Drosophila melanogaster: one gene and its partners. The protein of the gene in region 1 purifies or fractionates together with the protein of each later gene. This does not show direct contact. Each region holds a gene or a part of one and is shown in the gene's direction. Other genes may lie near its edges.

Region 1 (7,626 bases):
GTTTTCCCCATTTTTATTACCACATAAAAACTGGTTTTCAGCCACGTACACTCTGATTTTTATGGCCGACGGGCGAAATTAAGAAATACCACATTTTTAGAAGCCTGACACTTTTTCCAAATTAGTACGCTTAAAACAATTCTAACAATTTCTAATGTGTTATTTACTTGTGTTCAAAATCAGTTGTTATGTTCGATTTCACTGACAAATTTTCCCACACTCGTTTTGTTTTCCTTGATAGCCGGTCGAAATGTTGGGAAGCACTACACAGTGCCGCCTAAGCATCTTCGGCATTTTTTAAATTTCTAAAGTTTTTTCTAAATTTGAAATAGACCAAACTTTTTGCCAGTGCAGCCGGTTTGATAACCCCCCATTGAAAGCTCTTTTTTGCCAGTCTTCAATCGGTTGTGGGCACTTGCAGTCCGTTTTGTTTTTCTTTAACGCAGATTGAGGGATCGAAGATCATCCAGCTGTTGCGATGAACCGTCGCCTTCCAGGAACCATCAGCCAGTGCCAGAAGCTTCTCCTAGCCACCCACAACCATGCTCCAACGGCCTTCTCCACCAGATTCCTGTCCACATCTCGAGTGAACCGCGAGCGGCAAGAGTAAGTTTGTTTATATAGCTGCGAAAGTTTATGACATTTTCCGCGAAACAAATGGCATGGCAAATCTATATCTATATCTACCAAAACAAATTGAATTAGTATGTTTAGGCTAGTAACTAATTAATGGCGATAACGAAGAGATAACTTGTTGGCCATGGTTAGATGGCACTGATGGTGGGTGTGGTCATGCGACTGTACTAATCTCCCTTGAGGTGTCTGTCATTGTATATTCCAGCAATTAAGTAAATCCTATTTTTTCCAGATGCCAAGTGCTGGTTGTGGGCGGTGGCACCGGTGGGTGTGCCATGGCCGCCAAGTTGTCCTCACGTTTGGGCAGCGACAAGGTGGTCGTCCTGGAACCGGAAGATGTGAGTAAGCCCAAAGGCAGTAAATAATCCATTATGACATAGCGCGATAATTCCCCATAGAAACATTACTACCAACCCATGTTCACCCTAATAGGAGGTGGTATGAAGAGATTGGATCAGAGCCACCGCCAAATGGCCGATGTGCTGCCCACAAAGGCCAAATGGGTGAAGGAGAAGGCGCTGGAGTTCGATCCGGATAATAATACGGTTAGCACTTCTGGTGGCAAGACCATCAAGTACGACTTCCTGATCATCGCCACCGGACTGCAGCTCAATTATGGAAAGGTACGTAGGGTATCAGTACGTTTAATAGTTGCTAATATCCATATCCACATATCCATAGATACCTGGCCTGGTGGAGGCCCTGGAGACCCCCGACAGTAATGTTTGCTCCATCTACTCGCCCAAGTACGTGGATCATGTGTACGAATGTCTGCGCAGGACCAACAAAGGAAATGCTATATTCACGTTTCCCAATTGTCCCATTAAGTGTGCAGGTGCACCGCAGAAAATCGCCTATATATCTGAGCACTACTTTAGGAAGGTGTGCATCATTTAGATAGAATATCTGGCAAACAACTTCAATTTGAAACCCTTTTCAGATGGGTCGTCGCGACAACGTCAATATCATCTACAATACATCGCTTCCCGTGATTTTTGGTGTTAAGCATTACGCAGAGGCCCTGATGAAACTGATCAAGAGGAGAAATATCACGCTTAATGTTCAAAGAAATCTCGTTGAAGTGAGACATAAAGATAATATAGCCGTGTTCGAGGATCTCGCCAAACCAGGAGTTCACTATGAGGAAACGGTAAGTGCTGGTCAATTAATTGGGTATTCTAGATACTATATAGATCTAGATCTAGATCCTAGAACTATATCTTTCTACTTAAAGCGAGAAATATGAAGAGTAGGTTAACTAAGATCAATTTTAAAGTCGTATAGTATTGCAGAAATAGGAGAATTGAAGGCCATGAAATTAAACTTATATAAGTATTATATCTTTCTCAGTACTCCATGCTTCATGTGACTCCGCCGATGAGCACTCCGGATGTGGTGGCCAACTGCAAGAAACTGGTAACCCCCACTGGCTTTGTGGACGTCGACCAGTTGACGCTGCAGCACAACAAGTACAGCAACGTGTTCGCCATCGGCGATTCGGCGTCCAGTCCCAACTCGAAGACGGCCGCGGCGGCAGGTAAATGGGTTGGGAATCCTGATCAGAATATTCAATTGATTTTTCACCTCCAGCCGCCCAATCACCGGTTGTGTTCAAAAACGTAATGGCGGCGATCGAGGGCAAAGCCCCAACGGATATCTACGATGGATACTCGTCCTGCCCCATCGTCACCGGCTACAGCTCCTGCATCCTGGCTGAGTTTGATTACAACCTCACCCCCGTGGAGACCTTTCCATTGGACCAGTCCAAGGAGAGGTACTCCATGTTCTTTATGAAGAAGGAGCTGATGCCGGTGCTCTACTGGAAGCTGATGATGAACGGCTACTGGAACGGACCGGCACTAATGCGGAAAATTTTCTCAGTGCTAAAGTTTAATAAAAAGCAATAGGGACCTCAAATGATCTTTAATTAATTTTAAAAGAATATTTGGCATCATCATAACCATTCCATACCTTAATATCATACTAATTTATAAACATTGTACTTTTAATTTGGTATGTGAGATCATAAATAAAAGTATTAAATTAGTTTAAAATCTAGTATATCTAAATATTTTAACCTATTCAAATGGCACGCACTGTACATAGCCTCGGTTTCAGTATGTATCAAGTATATATTGGAGCAGGGGATGGTATTTGCAGCATTAACCGCTTTCTAAAGTTCGGTCACTCTAAAACCAAGCGTGGCGTCGCTTGGCGCTGTAAATTTGAAGGTAACGAACTAAAAGAGAGATCGATTCCAGCAACAAAACAAGAAGAAACCCAACTCCCGTATATCAAATTAGTTGCAAAAACGAGCTGACAACATGAAGGCAGTGTAAGTGATATGACAGTTCCCGAAAGAACAACTCCATCAATGAGAATACCCATTTGCAGACCCAGGACGCCGATGCGTGTCGTCCCGAAAACTCCGCGGGTGCATCAAACGGTGGAGAAACAGCGACGAGACACCTCCGACAAGGCCAGGGATCCAGTGAATGTGTTCTGTCGAGTGCGGCCACTACAATCCGACGCAGATCTCACCTCCCTAAGGGTCAAGAACTCCACGACGATCGCACTGAATCCGCAGGATCAGCTGCTGCAGCATCACAAGCCACACAACGGCGCCCAGCGCGAGGTTCAGTACATATTCAAGCACGTTTTCCAGCCGGATGCCACGCAGCAGGATGTGTACGCAGCTGTGGCCCAGCCGTTGGTGGAGAACCTACTGAAAGGCCGAAACAGTCTGCTTTTCACCTACGGCGTGACTGGAAGTGGAAAAACGTACACCATGACCGGCAACCTGCGACACCGCGGCATCATGCCGCGCTGCCTGGACGTGCTCTTTCGCACCATTTCAGATTACCAGGCCAAGAAGTTCGTCTTCAAGCCGGACAAGCTTAATGGCTTCGAGATCCTGTCCGAAGAGGATGCGCTTTTGGAGCGCCAACACGAGATGAACCAGCGTTTTGCTGGCTCAGGACGATTTGCCTTCAGGCACAAGGACTCGGATCCGGAAATTGCATCCCAGGCCTCCGTGGAGCCAATTCCGCTGCTGGGTTTGGATGAGGACAACATGTACTCGGTGTTTGTCACCTATATTGAAATTTACAATAACAGCGTCTACGACCTCCTTGAGGACTCGGGTATACAGAAGTAAGTATTTATTAAGCATTACATTTAAAGAAATCTAACTGTATTCTTGACCCGACAGGACTTTGCAGAGCAAAATCATTCGTGAAGATGCCAATCGACACATGTTCGTCCACGGCGTCACAGAGGTGGAGGTCAAGACCGTGGAGGACGCCCTCGAGGTCTTTCAAATGGGCCAGAAGCGCAAACGAATGGGACACACTGTTCTCAATGCAGAATCCAGTAGGAGTCACTCGGTGTTCAATATACGCTTGGTGCAGGCGCCCACTGATAGCCAGGGTGAGAATGTGGTTCAGGACCGGCAAAACATCACAGTGAGTCAACTGTCCCTGGTGGATCTGGCGGGCAGTGAGCGATCCTCAAGGACCAAGAACACCGGTGTGCGACTCCGTGAGGCGGGCAACATCAATAATTCGCTGATGACGCTGCGCACTTGCCTGGAATATCTGCGCGAGAACCAACTCGCGGCTAGCAATGGATTGGCACCCAAGAAGGTCCCCTATCGAGACTCCAAGATCACACACATGTTTAAAAACTACTTCGATGGCGAAGGCCAGGTGTCCATGATTGTGTGCATCAACCCAAGAATTGAGGACTATGATGAGAATATGGTAAACTATTTTTCTGACAACAATGTACTCTGGTCCCTAAAATTTATTTATCCCGTTTAGCAAGTGATGAAGTTCGCCGAGATGACCCAGGAGGTGCAAATTGCTCGGGCGACTCCTATGAAGCAAGATTTGGGTCTGACTCCCGGCCGTCGCAAGGCCAACAAGCTGTTCAAGATTGCCGTTAATAATCTAAACGAGCTGGGCATTCCTGAGGCCAAGGATTTGGAGGTGGACGTGGGTTTGGTGTACAGTTTGGGACCCGATTTTCCCGCCTACGAAATGGACAGTCCCGAGGCACAGATCAAAATCCGCGAGCTAATGCATTATCTGGAGCAGCGCATAGAAAAGCGAAAGAAGCTGCGTGCCAACTTGGACATTAAATGTAAGACGTCACTTTCTTAATCTTAACATTGAAATACTAATTCCACAACTTTCAGGTGACAGCTTCCGGCAGATGCTGATGAACCTTGACCGCGACAATCTTCAGCTGCGCACGGAGCTCGCCTCCTTAAAGGCTGTTTACAAGCAGGAGCGCGATCGCAGTGCGGCACTCGAGAAGAAGGTTCGCATCCACGAGAGCTCCATTGACGTGCTTAACAATACGCTAAGCAAGCAAGAACGGCAGATTGAAGAGCTGACTTTCAAGCTGAACGAGAAGGAGAATATGCTCACCCAAAAGGAGCACGAGAAGGAAAAGCAAAAGAAGAAGTTCAGCTCCAAGCTGGCCGTTGAGTCGGACAAAAATAAGCGAGAGTTTGAACTAAAGCTGCGTGAACAGCGAGTGAAATTGCAGGAACGCATGCGCATCAAGGACGAGAAGTTGCGATTGGTCTCCAACATTCTGCAGTCCGAAGATCTGCCCAGTTTGCCGCGGTCACAGAGCTCGGAAAACATACTTAATGAGAAAGATCGCGGTGCATATACGGCGCGCACGGAGGAGTCCTCGGTGCCAGCTACACGAACAGATATATATGCAACGCCACGTCATGTAAGTGTATGATTAATCCTAGAATATTGCAATATCTATTGATAATTTTATATCCCAACAGGGTGCAGCAGCGGCCAACAATCGGCATAGACGCTCTCGATCCGCAGGCGACAAGTGGCTGGAGCATCGGGCAGCTAATCCCGTTCCGCTTGGCACTATTATGCAGCCGTATCTGAAGAATCGCAAATCCGTAACGAAACTAACCGACTTGAAGGAGTTGACTGCTCACGGAACTACGAAGTACTGTCTCGTCTCGCAGGATGCGGATACGGATGGCGATGTGGAGACGAAGCTGTATAAGGGCAATGTAATTCCCACTTGTGGCGGTGGTGCCCAAGTTGTGTTCAACGATGTGGAGTGCCTCAAGCAGAAGTCACCGGTTCACTCGCCCACGCGAAAGCGACCCAGCAATGGCAACATTTCGGCTCTGGGCGGCGGTGCAGTGCCCAGCACGGTCACCTCAGCCCAGGACGTAGCCTCCCGCTGCAATCTCGGCATTGAGGGACACAGCAGCAAGAAGTCGAAAATCTAAAAATGACTCAGCGTGGAATTCTCAAAGTCAATTACCCATTTAGTTCATAGTTACTTAGTTTCCATAACTTAAATTTAAGTTTATTACTCACCCACTTCGGTTTTTGGAGTTGAATCGCATTGAAGTGATTTGTTTGATTAAAGAAAAGTTAATCTGTATAAATAATCCCGTAAATGAATTCGCAACCCCTCGCAAATGGAAATGTTTCCTGCTCCAAATAGTCGGTACCCGGAGGGTATCTGCCAAGAGCAGTTGTTAGAAACTATCCAAGCATCGTCCAATCATAGAACTACTCTAGTGTTATTATAAAGTATTAAATATTTTATTGTTTTTCGGAGTGAACCCAACTCCAGTCCAGTCACAAAATGAACAAATAAAGTGAATTACGCGCATATACTGAAAGTGATCAATTTGGTTTTTATCAATTTTAGATTTTCTGGCTGCAAAGCTCCCAGAGTTCCGTGAAGCAATAACATGTGGCACATAGATGGTTTTAACTATTTTTATTATTATTCCTGCGTTTATTCAGATTTATGCTTAAACCGATAAATTTTATTGAAATACATACGGTACCATTACACATACATATTTGTAGATTAATTTCAATTACTAATAAATCAGTCTATAATTAAAATATATGTTCGCTTAATGATTTCACGTGTGTGAGTGTTGTTGTGTTGCAGTGTTCATGTTGCAGTTGCTGTTTCGTGGGTGTGAGTTGCTGCTCGATGAGTTCGGCAGATGACTCTTAAACGCTATGTGCGGCAAATGTGGCAGGTTCCTGGCAAATGAGGAATTTCGAATTTGGAATTGGAAGCCAATATCGCTAATGCTACTGCACGACAAATGAATCAAATCAAATGTAAAAGGGAAACAATCAGAACGTGATAATAGAATTTAGGTACATACCCGTTCAAGTACAATTAAACAAAACAAGTTGGACGAGACGAAACAAAACCACAAATGTAAACATAATAGGCGGCAAACTCAACTCAAGTGGTGGGCCAATATTAACATATCCATCTTATCCAAATTTCATTTAAACAAATTACAATTTAATCAATATAAAGCTCTGTTCTCATAAACGCTCTCTCAGGTTCACACGACGCGAAACAATTATTTGCATCTGCAGTTGTAAATCTGCGCTTTATAATACGTAATCATAATCATAATATTATCATTAAGGTAATCGATTCTTGCCATATACACAATAGCAATAAAAACTAAGAAGCGAAATTATTCTACGGTGGAAAACGAATTTTGGCTATGAAGCAACGTAATTTAAAAGGGTATTATTAACAATATACACTCACAGCCACAGCCACACCCCGACCACCCGACTACCCTACTCTTCTTTCCCTTAATTGTTTAATGTTTTTTGTGTGTGTGTTACGGTGTGTGTGGTGTTAATGGTGTGTGTGGTGTATGTGAGCAGTTGCGTTTTGTTGGCAAGGCATTCAACATTACGTTGCGGACCCTCACATCCGCGGCATCTGTCTGTGTGTGCTTTTCTGTGTTTGGATGAGTTTGCAATGAAATCTCGCTTGAAGCTGTATACTAGCTGCCCCGTCCCTGACCGTTCACCGCCTGAATCCAAGCGAGACGGCGGCGTAGGCTCCACCGGAAGTGCCCCACCGTCTCCTATGAGCACTTCACACATGCACCCTCAACATCAAAGTCGAGGACCATTAGCTTTGTTTCCTCCGTTC
Region 2 (5,448 bases), on another chromosome or scaffold:
ATCAACGAGTGGTGGGATCTTTCACTGAAAAGCACCGAGGAGCGCAGGCGCTTCACCACCTACTACTGTGATACGCAGACCGAAGATGTTCTCGAGCAGTTCGAGAAGGAGCTGGACAACCTTAAGGAGTTCTACAACAGCAACAGGAAGATATTTGAGCTATACGCGAATCGAGGCGAGCTATGGACGCGCATGGAGGCCCTGGAGGCCAAGGCCAACGATCCAAATCGGTTCAACAATCGCGGTGGACAGCTGCTCAAGGAGGAGAAGGAGCGCAAGACTATCATGTCCCGTCTGCCCAAGATCGATCAACAAATCACCGAACTGGTGCAGGTCTACATGAGTGAAACGCACACGCCGTTCCTGGTGCACGGCGTGGATATACTGGAGCGCATGTCGGCGGACTGGGAGCGGCATCGACAGTCCAAAAAGCAGCCCTCCGCCCAGAAGAAGGATGGCAGCAATACGAGCGGCCAAATGAAGCCGCCAATGGTGCCTCTTACGCCCAATACGCAGAAGAGCAACCGGGGCATCCATGGATCCACATCCTCGTTGAAGAAGACGCCGACCAAGGCAAATGCCAGCACCACGGCAATGAGCACAGGGAATCTGCACAAGAGACGGCATCCACAGCATCACAACACCAATAGTCCACAGCCGGCAGCAGCGGCCAAGCGAAATCTAATCGCATCGCTGGAGTGCAACAATGCAAGTCGCAAGGTCTGTGTGAATGGGCAGAAGCTGCTCAAGTCGCCGCAGAGGAAGGTGCGCGTGCTGGAATACTCGGTGCGTCGGGGCAAGGGATCCGGCAGGCCGAGCACAGGGAGCAGGAATCCCCAGAAAATTCGTCCCATACCAAAAATCCATGTGCGTCCGCCGTCCGGCGAGGAGAACGAGAGTCCCGACGAGGAGGCGGTCGTGGCCATATAATGGAGCTAGACTCTAATCACATCCAATGGCAATCATTTCGGCAACTGATCTGTGTTCTATATCTATTACCTGTACTGAAGTATTTGGCTCGCAATTGCAGACTCATCGTATTTATATGTATACACATATGTATAGTGTTAGGGCTTTTCCTAGCGCAAAGACTATCTAAATTTACAACTTTAAAATTCTTTTAACTATTTTGCACTACCTGTGACGGCAAGAAGTAAATGAACAATTGTCCACATTTTAAATTTTTAGTCAGATAAAAACGCTTGTTTACATTATAAATTACTTGATTTCAATTTTACCAAAATATACATGTGTGGGAAGGGTTTTCTAAAGTCTGTGGGATGTTTACTAAGCGCATATAAGAGAATATAATACGTTTTTAAGGAGCAAAATAATTAAAATAGATATTTTAATTTGCTAATAAACCAAATAACGAATTTTAAATATTCAAAAAAGTGGCGTATGCTCCAGCCCTGGTTTTACCAGAAGTTACCGCCGCGTGGCAATGCTGTCCCACAACGCGGTGGCAACACTCTTGGCCGCCATTTCAATTTGAATTTACCGAAATTTCTGTCTAGCGTCATCGATTCATTCAGTTCGAAATTTCGTGCAGTGATGCACTCTAAATAAACCACTAAATAAATCCGCACATTCCCGAGCAATCCTGCCCAGCGTTGTGGGTCTGCGACACAACTGTCAAGTTAACTCAGATATGCTGGTTAAATAGTCCCCAAGTGAACACAACGAAAAAACAAAGCCAGTGAGCATTTACGCAAGAAAAGAAATTTTGAACAAAAAAAAAAAAACACAAATTTCACAACGAAAACGGAGAAAATGAACTCGCCGAGCGCCATTGCGGTGAAGGCCCAGATCCTGGAGATGACGGGCGAGCACGTGGATCAGTTGCACGCGATGTGGTCGCAGTTGTTCGAGGTCAAGACCTGCGGTGAGTTCCTCCTCCGGTTGAAGGACCATGCGAACAGCTTCTTCACGGATTTGCTCAATGAGTCGCGCGAAAAGCAGCAGGCGATCCTCAACGATATAGCCGCCTTGCGGGCAGAGGCCACCGACTTGACGCGCCTACTCCACGAGCCGCTGGACATTGGCGAGCGGCCGGAGTCCATGCCGCTGGTCGTCTGGGAGCTGAAGCTGGACAAAAGCATCGAGCACTTACGCGATCAGCTGGCCAGGCGGCGAGCGGAGATCTGTGAGCTTCTGCTGCAGCAGGAGCAGCTGTGCGAGGAACTGGGAGAGCTGCCTCTGCCACTGTTGGCGGATCCACTGCCGCTGCCCGAGGAGATGGACGCCTTTCGGAATCGCCTGGGCCAGCTACGCGATCAGCGAGTGCTGCGCCTCAAAGAGATGGACCAGCTGCGCCAGGCCATTAAGCACGACATGAAGCTGCTTGAGTGCCTGCCCCAGACGGACACCGAGGAGCGTCTGCTCAACCAGGTGGATCACTGCCTAACGCCGGAGACCTTCGAGCTCCTGCGCAACATGCAAAAGAACTTCGCCGACCAGGTGAAGGAGCTGAGGGAGCGCATCGACGATATGCGCGAAAAGATCCATGTGCTGTGGGACAGACTCCAGGAGACAGACGAGTATGCCATGCGTCGCGTGCGCGAGGCTACGACCTACACTCAACGCACCTACGATGTCCTGCGGGAGGAACTGCAGCGCTGCCAGGCCCTGCGACGCCAGAATCTGAAAACCTTCATCGAGCAGCTACGCATCGAGATCAAGGAGATGTGGGATCTCACACTTAAGAGCCAGCAGGAGCGCAAGCGCTTCTCGAACTACTACAACGACTGGTACAACGAAGATCTGCTGGAGCTCCACGAACTTGAGCTGGACGACCTCAAGACCTTCTACAACAAGAACAAGGAGATCTTCGATCTGTACGAAAGCCGTGCCGAACTCTGGTCGCGCATGGAGGCGCTGGAGGCCAAGGCGAGCGAGCCGAATCGCTTCAACAATCGTGGCGGCCAGTTGCTCAAGGAGGAGAAGGAGCGCAAGGCCATCACCTCCAAGCTGCCCAAGATTGAGCAGCAGATCACGGAACTGGTGCAGGCATACGAGGCGCAGGAGAACACACCCTTTCTGGTGCACGGCGAGAACATCCTGGAGCGGATGGCCGCCGATTGGGAGCGTCATCGCCAGGCCAAACAGCAGAGCTCGGCGCGCAAGAAGGCACCGCCATCGGCCAGCAAGATAATGCCACCGCCGGCAACGGGCTCGACAGCTCCACGCACGCCGCGCACGCTGCGCAACATGTCGACCCTTTCCAGCTCCACCATGTCGCTGCGCAAGACGCCGTCGCAGCAGCACCTCCGTCCACTAAACATCACCAAGAGTACGGGCAATCTGCACAAGCGCCTGAATCCGTCCGGCCTGCAGACGGGCCCCAAAACGCCCAACGCCAAGCGCAGCCTTATGAACACACTCAACTCGATGAAGGCGTCGCCAGCCAAGCACCTGCTCGCGCCCAGCCAGCAGCATAACCAGCTGAAGAGCACCAAGTCGCCGCTGAAACGTGTTCGCGTACTGGACAACACACTGCGACGCAGCGGCGGTATGGGCAGGCGCAGCATTGGAACGCGTTCCAGCAAGAAGGCGCGCACCAAGTCCAACGATCAGAACGCCCCACCCGACAGCAGTGACTACACAACGGACGAGAATCCCGAGCAGGGTGTCAGCTATGACGAATTTCAGCCGACCAGTCGCTCCTCGATGCTGCCGCGCCAGCGTCATCAATTGGCCGTGCCGCGAACTCGTCGTGCGGAAATGAATGCCAATCTGCCGGTGCCGCGGGAAAGCCTGATGATCGTGCAGCCGCGCAGACAGTTCTAGTTCCACTGGAGATTGACTAGCTTAACGCGTACCTACTACACTATTTCATAACAGTTGGAGTTTCTTGATGTATTTTAATTTTTTATTTTCTGTTTTACGTTTTCAGAATAAAATTTATGTGAGTTTTTTCGCTTGACCACAAGACTCGAGTGTATTTCACATTTCTTTCAGCATAATTCGTGTGTAAATTTCAGGAATTGGTTGTACATTTGTTAATAATTTTTTGCTAGTTTTCCACCAAAAAGAAATAGCTGTACATTTCGATGTTTTACTATGCTTTCACGATTTATTTGATCATCAACTAAATTTGTTAATTGTTAGAGGGATGGGGAGCTATTTGCACTTTAATTTTAATATACTAATATACAACTAAATTTGTCAATTGTTAGAGGGAGGGGGTGCTATTTGGACTTCAATTTTAATATACTAATATACAATTCAATTTGTCAATTGTTTGAGGGAGGGGGAGCTATGTGCAATTTAATTTTAATATACTAATATACAATCGCACTGATGCAAGCTTTATAAAAAGATTCCAACCGCCTACACTGTAGTAGAGCAGTTCTTATTTGACTATTAAATACATATTAACACATTAAAATGGGCGGCACGTGTGGTGCCTGCGCCAGTGATGAACCCTTCAATTGGCCAGAGCCCGGTGCGGTGCAACAGCTCCTCCCAATTCGGATACCGTTTATGTACAGAGGAAAGCTTAAGTCTACACTGGAATAGTTTGATGTTCGGGATGAGTTGGAGCCGTGTGAAGCCCAGGAGGAGCAGGAGCAGTAGCAGAATCACGCACTTCAGCATCGATAGCTATTTGCCCGCATCGCTTCCGCTCTGGCTGTGCTGGCTGCTTCCTCCTTGGTTGTACATGAGATGCGCTGTAGCGAAAACGACAGAGATGGAGTATGGTTATGACAAGGATGATGCTATTCCCTACATACCCATAACGGCCGGCGGAAAGTTAAAGGCGCCAAACGGAGCAGGCGTATTCACTGCCGTGGGTGTAAAGTTGGCTCCATCGAAGGTATTAGCTGGAGCTGCAGCTGTCGCATTGTATGTACCCGGCGAGTGAATGACGGTGGTCGACGATGTGCTCTCAGCACCGCCAGCTGCAGTCGCCGCAGCCGTCGCCGCCAGCTGGGGATCGAGTTCATTTGGATACCGTGCCGGCGGCATAACGACGGTGGTCAAATGCGACTGACCGCCATCGTCTAGCAGACCCGTGCGCTGCAGTCGTCCCGTCTTCGTCTCGATGTGCTTGTTGTGGGCGCTCATGCAGTGATTGCGCATATTATACAACTGCAGGAAGTAGGCATCGCAGTGCGGACACTTGTACCGCTCGCCCGTATGCCGCCGGATGTGCGCCTTCAGGTCGTTGCTTTGCGTGAAGCTCTTGGGACACTGGTCGCACTTGTACGGCCGCTCGCCGGTGTGCGTGCGCATGTGGATCGTTAGATTGTACGCGCGGTGGAAGCTCTTGCCGCAAGTATTGCACAGATTAGGTTTGGTGCCCGTGTGGTAACTGCAAGTCCAGGCAAAAATCGTTTAGGAAACAAAAAAAGAAAAAACAGCGGATAGCAACAGTGGGGATAGTGGATTCATCACTTACCGCTCATGGACCTTGAGATCGGTGGCACGGGGAAAGGCTTTGAC
Region 3 (8,673 bases), 8.3 Mb from region 1:
TTTTCTTATCCCAGCCGCCATTTTTATTCCATTGCTTTAAGAAAGATCTTTCACAAAACTAAACTTTTAAATTTTTAAATTTTTCCATTGCAAATAAGCTACCTTTTTTGCTTAACCGGTATTCTAAGTCGGTTTTTAAAAGTGCTCCATCTAATAAGTGGAACTTTCCGAGCCCACATCTTTCAAGTTTATATTCCAATTGTTTTAAAATGAATGCACCGCATTATATAATGCAATTGTTCAAAAGACGAATTACTTGGATTGCGGCAAACTTGTAAACCCATTAAGGTTAGGCCGCGCTTCCAATTTAACCTCAACTGGGGAACGCATGTTTTGCCGGTATTTCTCCGCTCTCCGTTCCTCCTTTTCGACTTCCAGGGCACTGACATCCGTAACGGGAGCCCTTGGATCCCGTTATCTGGCGCCAAATCGAAATTGTATTTGCAAATAAACAAATTGCATTGGGGCCTTGCTGGTGCTCGTTACTTTGTGCGCGGGTGTATGTGTGCCAAGTAAATTGCAAAAGCAACACTGTACAACAACAACCAAAGACAAAAACAGGCCAAAGCCAACATGACAAACAAAAAGCATAAGTGGGAGAGCGAGAGACGGCTGTCGAAATGGGTAATGGAGAGAGCGGTGGCGGCAATTGCACTCACCGTCTCCACGAGTATGAAATTACTGTAAAAACTAACAAAAAGAAACGAACCAAAAGGAAAGAAAGAGTAGAGCCACCAACACAAGAGAAATGGACAGAATCCATTTTCTTTTGCGATGAACCGTTTTTTTACACGATTTTTTTTTTCTTTTTTTTTGGCGCAGATTACGGCACCCACATATGTATATCCCGTATATGTACATATATGGGCGACGTGGGCGATTTTCGTATTAAATACTTACCACTCGAGAGCGCAATGGTGCACTCCTGCGGATCCACCGTGTACAGGCGGCCCTCGTATCGAATGTCCGCCTTGGAAATGAGGCTGATTTTGGAGCCCAACTCCGGTAATCCCCCGCTCATCTTGAACTACTTCGATGCTTCACTGCGCACTCACGCCGAAAATACAAACTATTATTAAATGTTTCTGCCAACAGGCACACGAATTTCTCTGTCAAAAGCAAACAATTATAGCGAGCGCGACGACAACGATTTCTCGACGGTTTCAGTCTCTGCTCTTTTACTTTTTTTCCGTCTTTTTTTCACACGCAATTGCGTTCCAGTTCCAGGGCGAATTTGCGGCCAATCGCCTTCTAGCCGCGTTTGCTTTATCAAGCTGTGTTTTTGCACAAGTGCGACAAGCGCTTTTCCAATGTCTGTGATGCTGCACACACGGCTCCAAATGTGAAAATTGCAATTTTCGATGCACAAATCTTTGCTCCGTCCGTCTGCGAAAACCTACCCGTCGAAAATGAACGATGCATACGAGCGAGAGCCTCGACGGTGTTGGAAAGCGCGGTTGTATAGCAGCGGCGGCGGCAGCGAAATAATAATAATAACTGTTTATGTGCAAAACTGTGCAAAATATAAAAGGGGACGCTTCAAAAGGTTGCCAAAAGTAAATAAGACTATTTCATTATTTATCCGTTCTCTGTTTGCATTAAAATTCAAATTTTATCCTCTTTCACAGGGCAGCCCTACTTGCAACCCTAAATACAACTCTGGAAAGTGAGCACGCATCCCTGGCTCTTCGGCTTCCCTCGGCGCATTTTTTTCAAAGCGAAACGGCAGAAAAATGCTCTGGCATTTTACGGATTTCTAATTGTATTATTTATGTGAGAAAATTGCAAATAAAAGTGAGTCCATCATGCCACCCAAGATGGAGCCGATTAGCGTGCGCACCGCGCGTCTGAACAACCTGATTCTGGGCAAAGGAGCTGGCGTCTGTGCGAAGCCCGCTGGAAGCGCCTCCGGATCAGGTATTCCCGCCTCCACCAGGAGAAGCATTGTACCCGTGAGCACCACTAGCGCCGCCGTGGCCGAGGCCATCTGCCGCGAGGGACTCCTGGACGCCTTCTGTCTGCTGTACAACGAGTGCGACAAGGATACGCTGAAGAAGCGCGATCGCAACATCGCCGAGTTTGTCAACAAATGTGAGTCAACTGCATTGGTCAGCAGGGTTTTCGGATGGAGTATCTACCATTCTATAGAAATGGAACTCAGAAGCCACATTTTTACTTCCTCGGGTCAGAGAATCTACTTTTGCTAATCATATTCCATTATTAAAGCCCACAAAATTATTGGGAGTAGAATCTCTTATAGATTTACCTGTATGTTCCGGTTTCCCTCCTTGAAAATAGAGCTCATGCCTAGTTACCCATTATATTACTATCTAATTTCCTACTCCAGTTCGTCCCATCATAGAGGAGACCCGCAAACTCAGGGTCAACGCAGATGACTTCCTCATCAAGACGCTTATTGGCCAAGGATACTTTGGCAACGTTCACCTGGTGGTGGAGCGGCAAACCAACGACATATACGCCATGAAGAAGATCAAAAAGTCGGTGGTGACGACGTCACAAGTCAAGGAGGAGCGCGATATCATGTCCATTCGCAACTCTGAATGGCTAATCAATCTGCAGTATGCCTTTCAGGTTTGTTATTTCCACATTTTCGCATATTTCAGTACTTGAATTAACTTATCACTTAGGATAACGACAATCTGTACCTGGTCATGGAGTACATGCCCGGCGGAGACCTTCTCAGCTTGATGTCACGCCACGGCCCTTTCGATGAGGACTTGGCTCGTTTCTATCTGGCCGAGCTCACAGTGGCCCTGCACACATTGCACGAGATGGGCTATGTGCATCGGGATATAAAGCCTGAAAATATACTGATTGATCGTTTTGGCCATATTAAACTGGCTGATTTCGGTAATGCCGCTGCCTTGGATCGCGATGGCCATGTGCTGAGTTTGTCGCCGGTGGGAACACCGGATTACATAGCTCCAGAGCTGCTGCAAACCATATCCACCTACAAGCTGTCCAAGTCGATGCACGATGTGAGTAGAATTGTACGATCGCAGAGTTTGGTTTGGAAAGTTCATAGCTAAAACAAGAACTCATTTTGTAGGTCAGCTGCGATTATTGGTCCATGGGCATTATAGGATATGAGTTAATATGCGAGACAACACCTTTTCACGAGGACAATGTACACGAGACATACTCCAAGATTCTCTCCCATTGCGAGGAGAGTCACCTTAAAGAGCTCATCAGCTTTCCCGCCGACTTGAAGGTGTCTGTTAACTATAGAAATCTTATTGAGTCACTGGTCACAAATCCTTCGAAGCGATTGTCCTATGAGCGCATTAAGAATCACCCCTTCTTTAGCGAAATTCCGTGGGGTTCCATTCGCTCGCAGGTTCCACCGATTATACCAACTGTTAGGTCTGACGATGATACCTCCAATTTCGAGGACGGAATTCGTCATAAGACTCGCAGAGAACAGGGAGTTGCTAAAAAGTCCCTTACGACTAACATGAAATCGAATGATTTCAGTGGCAAGGATCTGCCATTCATTGGGTACAGTTTTGTGCACATGGAAAAGTCGGCAATTTCCGCTACCACCGATGAAAAGCTTCAGGAGAAGCTAAAGGAACTGCTGCAGAAACTGAAGACTAGAGAGAACGAGATTTCCATGCTGAAACAAGATCTTCTGCGGGCTCAGCAATCGCTGAGGAAGACCGATAACAAATCTCAGGTGGTAGCCGATGCTAAAATGGAAATTAAGAAGCTGCAACAGATTATCAAGGAGAAAACAATGGAGCTTACCACTTGCAAGACGCAAATTAAGACACTCCAAAGTTCGGCCAAAATAGACGAGGAAATGTGGTCCAAGAAGGAAGCCACTATCACCGATCTCCTTCGCCTTAATCGACAAAAGTACGAAGAAGCCAAGATCGCTTCGGAGCAACGATATGAGAAACAATTGGCGGACAAAAAGCAAGAGCTGGCATCCACGCTGCAAAAGTTAGATGCCCGTGAGTTGGAGTTCAATGCCAAGTTCGAAGAGTGCAAGCATTTGTCCATGAAGTTGCAAAACTACAAGGATATGCTGCAGCAGATCAAGGAGCAGAATCTCAAGTCCGAGACAAACCATGAGGAGCAGAGGCGCCAAATGGCCGAATTGTATGAGCAAAAGCTAACAGATCTCCGGAAAAAGGTTCGCGACTCGCAGGATACAAACCGCCGCATGACAATGGAGATAAAGGAAATACGCACCGAGCTGGACGAGTCCATATCCTCCAGCAAGTCCACCCAAGAAGCGAAGAACGCTACCGAGCGGAATATCGAAGAAATTCTGCGGCGTCTGAACGAGGAGATCGCCTCCAATAATGAGCTTCATGCGGAAAAGGTCAAACTGGAGACGAAGCTGCAGCTGAAGGAAAATGAAACTCAAGAAGTTAGAGCCGAATGTCATCGACTTGAGAGGGAATTGCAGGTAGGTGGTTATTCATCTGCATTGGTTAATTCAATCACTGCAATATTGAGTAAAAAAAAATTATATAAAAAGAAATCTTAGCAGGCTGTGAATGTTTGTGTTTTTATTTTGTGTCAAACTTAAAGTCTTAATGATTTTTAATGAAGCATATAGCTTTCGATTGAATCGATGAATATAGAAACCTAAAGATATGTAATTTGTAAATATACTTTATGAATTAATTTAAACTAGCTTGCCGAATGTCGCTGTCAGCTGGCTGAATCCTCACTAGCCACCCAGGTTTCCCCCTACGAAACTGCGCCTGGATCTTTGACCGAACTGAATGCCATTGAGGATCAACTTCGCGCCGACTTGTTAGCCGCCAAAGAGAGTGAAAACCATCAGAAGGGACGCGCCGATCAACTGCAGACGCTGGTTACCAAACTGGAGCAAATGCTGGAGCGCTTCAACGAGCAGAGTCTTTCACCCACGAAATCGCACTCATCGCGTAAGCAAGAAGGTGAAACCGTTGGTGATATGCTCGAGCGGCAAAACGAGAAGCTGGAGGATAAATTGGCAGCAGTGCGAGAGCAGATGATTGTGGAACGTCAGGCAGCGCGTACAGCGAATCTATCGCTCTGGAAGGTGGAGAAACAGCTCGAGGAAGCTTTGTCCGAGAAGAAGTTACTGGCGCGTCGCATGGAACTCACAGAGGATCGGATTAAAAAGGTGCAGAACGCAAGCGATGAAGCGCAGAGAATGCTCAAGACGTCACAGGAGGAAACTCGCCAGCGGGAGTCTCGCATCGAGGAGCTGAAGCAGGAACTGGCGGCCGCCAAAAGGGATGTCCTCAAGGAGCACCGCCAATGGGAAAAGGCCGAGCAGGAGCGCATGAAGTGCAAGTCGGAGATAATCGAGCACTTGGCCAATGTGCACAGATTAGAACAACAGGAGACGGAATTGCGCCAGAAACTCAGGCAAATCCAATCGCGATTTGATGGTGTAACTTTGGAACAGAAGAATACCATTCGAGAACTGCAGGAGGAGCGAGAAAAGAGCAGGAAAGCGAATGACTCTTGTTTGGTCTTACAGAAGGAGCTGAAACAACTCACCGATAACTTCCAGAGGTTGAAGTACGCTTGTAGCATTACCGACAGCCAGCTAACTGAGGTGGAGACCATGCTAAAATCGGAGCAGGAACGAAATAAATCCCAGAAATCTCAACTTGATACCCTTCATGAGAAACTCAGAGAGCGCAACGATCAATTAACTGATCTACGAAAGCAACTAACTACGGTGGAATCGGAAAAGCGTCTGGCGGAGCAGCGTGCTCAAGTGTTGGCATCGGAAATCGATGAACTTCGTCTCAATCTCAAGGAGCAGCAGAAGAAGCTGGTGGCGCAGCAGGATCAGTTGGTGGAGCAGACTAACGCACTGTTTGCCACCCAAGAGAGAGCTGAACTTTTGGATGGGCAAAATGCCAATTACGAAGCCCAAACTGCGGATTCGAATCGCGAAATGGTTAGTTTGAAGGAGGAAAATGCTAGAATTCTCAGCGAGCTGTTCCACAAGAAGGAGGAGGTTGGCAATCTTCAGGCGGAGATAAGGGGCTTGGAGTCTGCGCAAGCCAACTTGCACGCAGAGATCGATTCCCTTCAGGACACTTTGGCCGAGAAGGAGCAGTTCTACGTGCAGCGGGACATTAAATCGAATGCCACACTTGCGCAGCACAAAAAGCTGATTGACTACCTTCAGGTATAGCTAGTTTATATATATTCTTTTTAAGAGAATAGTTAATGAGATTAAAAACATTTTTGTATTTATATTTTAGCTCAAAGTTGAGGACCTATCCGCCAAGAAGAAAAAGACATTGGCGGACAAACTTTTCGGTTCTAGCCACACAAACAAGGAGAACGTGTCACCCAATGACGTGGAATCTTCCATTCTGTATCGCGCTCTAAAGGAGGAACTGAAGCGAGAACAAAAGATGAACAGCTTGCTGAAGGAGCAGTTGGCTCAGTTGAATGGTGGGATTTCTTTAGATTTCGCTTGATGTTTGTATCTAATTGTATATTTCCTTTAGGAACTGCAACCTTGCGCTCTCCACGCAAATCTGCAGCTGTTAATGGCGACTCCGATGCACCCAAACAGAGACCCGTAAGCATTGCTGCCTTGCCACGTTCTCCACAGAAGCAGCAGCAGCCCCTGAAGCGCACCACCAGCCAGGTGGAGCTGAAGACGACGGCGGAGAAACCGACTAAAGTAACCATTGAGAACCAGGCTCATCACCGTTTCGAACTGGCCCTGCAGGAGTCCAAGGTGGATGCCGTCAACTGTGTAGTTTGCGAAAAGGCCGTCGTTGCCGGTTCGCCGTTCTGGAAATGCAAGGAGTGCAAAGATGTTACGCATCGCAAGTGTCGCTCCAATGTTCAGAGCCATTGCGGATCCACCAAGCCGACTGCACCGTCAGCCGATGATCTTAGCAGTATTCAATCTGTCTCCAGCTTGACTTTGGATAGCGTAGATGTTGCGGGTGGTACAACCAGCGGTGGCGAGTACATTGGATCGCTGGTCTACAGTTCGGATGGTGCAGAAGATCAGGCACGGAAGGAGATCGAAGTGAACTGCGCCTTTGAAGTGGCCGAGCAGCAAATACTCCTATTGGGCTGTAACACGGGACTGTATGCGTATCACTTGGACTCGCAGCGATTGGTGCACATTTCTGGTCTCGAATCGGTGAGCTGCATGTCCATTTGCAAGCGCCTGGCTAAGGCTATAATGGTGGGCACAGTTGGCGAGAAGCTATATCAATGTGACTACCGCCAGCTGGAGTCACGCTGTCAGAGCTCCAGTTCGTGTCACAAGCCTGTGCTGGAAACGTCGGCCATTGAGCTGCCATTTGCCAATCGCACGCCATCGGAGAAATGGAAACTAGTGCTGATCTCCGATGAGGCGGAGAACGCATTGGATTCGGTGGCTATTGCGGCCACGTCCACTAGGATTGTCATCTTGAAGTACGACCTTAAGCTGCACATGTTTAAGCCAGTTCGAGCCTTGGACACGGCCACGCCGGTCACATCCATATTCTTTACGCGTCACTCGGCCATTGTTAGCTCGGATAAGTTCTACGAGATCGATTTGGACAACTATGCGGCTGAGGAGTTTGTGGATCTGTCCGATAAGTCAATGGAGAGCACTGCCAAGTGCCAGCCCCTAACTGCGGTGCGCATCTCACGACAAGAGTATCTGCTCTGCTTTGCCGAATATGGCGTCTTTGTGGACGAGTTTGGCTGCAGATCCAGGCCGTACGATTTGAACTGGGTCTATGCACCCACTGGATTTGTTTACCGCGATCCATTCCTATTCATATCGCACTATCAAAGCGTGCAGATAGTCCGTTTGCATCGGTCGTTCAGCAAGGAAATGGCCAGCGGGGATAACGCATCGGAGAATTCGGAATCCCCGGAACTGCAGCGCGTCTACTTGCCCCACTACATGTCCACGCTGCTGGCCAACAGCGGAGATGTCAATCTCTATGCCGTGGCCATCGATCAGAGGCCCTGCAATGGAACACAGAAGATCTACCATCTGGACACGATGCAGGCATTCAAGCAGAAGTTCAATATCTCCATGGAAACGCTGTCTTCAGTGGCCACTTCTGTGACTTTGGGCTCGACTGTCACCGGAAATAGCATATAGATGAAGGATATATATTAACTAAACGAATGGACAAAGCAAAATACTACAAACTGAGTAGTTGTAGTTATATCTAGGGTTAGGATATGCTATACATTTGGATTATTATTATTTTAACTTGTCAGAACATATGTTTTTTCACAATCTTTTTCATGTGTAACGATTGCCTAAAATCACATGGCAGAATCTTTTAAAAATTACTTAATTTACTCTTTAAATACTTTGTGCTGTATACACAAATAAAACTTGAGATTTTGATAAAAAAGGTAATTCATATTAAATTAATATATTTATTTTGATCACTAAAATATCGAAGCATATTAAAGGAAATATTTTTTAATTAATTAAAGAAGTCGCATAATATTTTAAATCAATTTTACTATGCAGGATAGCTTTTCGAATAGAATAGTTGGGGGCATGGAGTCGACGCCAAGCTTTTGGGGCTGATCCCACGCAGCTTTTCGGCAGCAGCTTTCAATGTCCCGCAATTCGAAAGCCCCGGAAATGGAATCGTGCTCTCCGCTGGCATTACTGCCATCGTTGGCTTGGCCGCTGGACGC

The links. The genes of interacting proteins can lie anywhere in the genome.
Region 2: the proteins of pav (region 1) and feo purify together in Drosophila melanogaster (affinity purification with western blotting, with the first as the bait; one study listed by BioGRID). This does not show direct contact.
Region 3: the proteins of pav (region 1) and sti purify together in Drosophila melanogaster (affinity purification with western blotting; one study listed by BioGRID). This does not show direct contact.

The regions. Positions count from the first base shown.
Region 1 is NT_037436.4:4,239,918-4,247,543, forward strand, and holds pav (pavarotti), read left to right. Parts: upstream 1-2,816; 5' UTR 2,817-2,960; coding exon 2,961-2,971; intron 2,972-3,030; coding exon 3,031-3,789; intron 3,790-3,847; coding exon 3,848-4,397; intron 4,398-4,457; coding exon 4,458-4,779; intron 4,780-4,834; coding exon 4,835-5,385; intron 5,386-5,446; coding exon 5,447-5,917; 3' UTR 5,918-6,316; downstream 6,317-7,626. Other genes in the region: Sqor (sulfide quinone oxidoreductase), read left to right, coding at 479-606, 869-974, 1,035-1,259, 1,318-1,518, 1,577-1,786, 1,987-2,173, 2,227-2,543; ago (archipelago), read right to left, coding at 7,559-7,626.
Region 2 is NC_004354.4:10,850,930-10,856,377, reverse strand, and holds feo (fascetto), read left to right. Parts: upstream 1-1,508; 5' UTR 1,509-1,773; coding exon 1,774-3,789; 3' UTR 3,790-3,932; downstream 3,933-5,448. Other genes in the region: sofe (sister of feo), read left to right, coding at 1-930; CG2202 (uncharacterized protein), read right to left, coding at 4,606-4,673, 4,737-5,317, 5,405-5,448.
Region 3 is NT_037436.4:12,507,800-12,516,472, reverse strand, and holds sti (sticky), read left to right. Parts: upstream 1-1,657; 5' UTR 1,658-1,805; coding exon 1,806-2,091; intron 2,092-2,347; coding exon 2,348-2,592; intron 2,593-2,648; coding exon 2,649-3,011; intron 3,012-3,070; coding exon 3,071-4,438; intron 4,439-4,669; coding exon 4,670-6,172; intron 6,173-6,248; coding exon 6,249-6,444; intron 6,445-6,500; coding exon 6,501-8,116; 3' UTR 8,117-8,475; downstream 8,476-8,673. Other genes in the region: tral (trailer hitch), read right to left, coding at 901-1,021.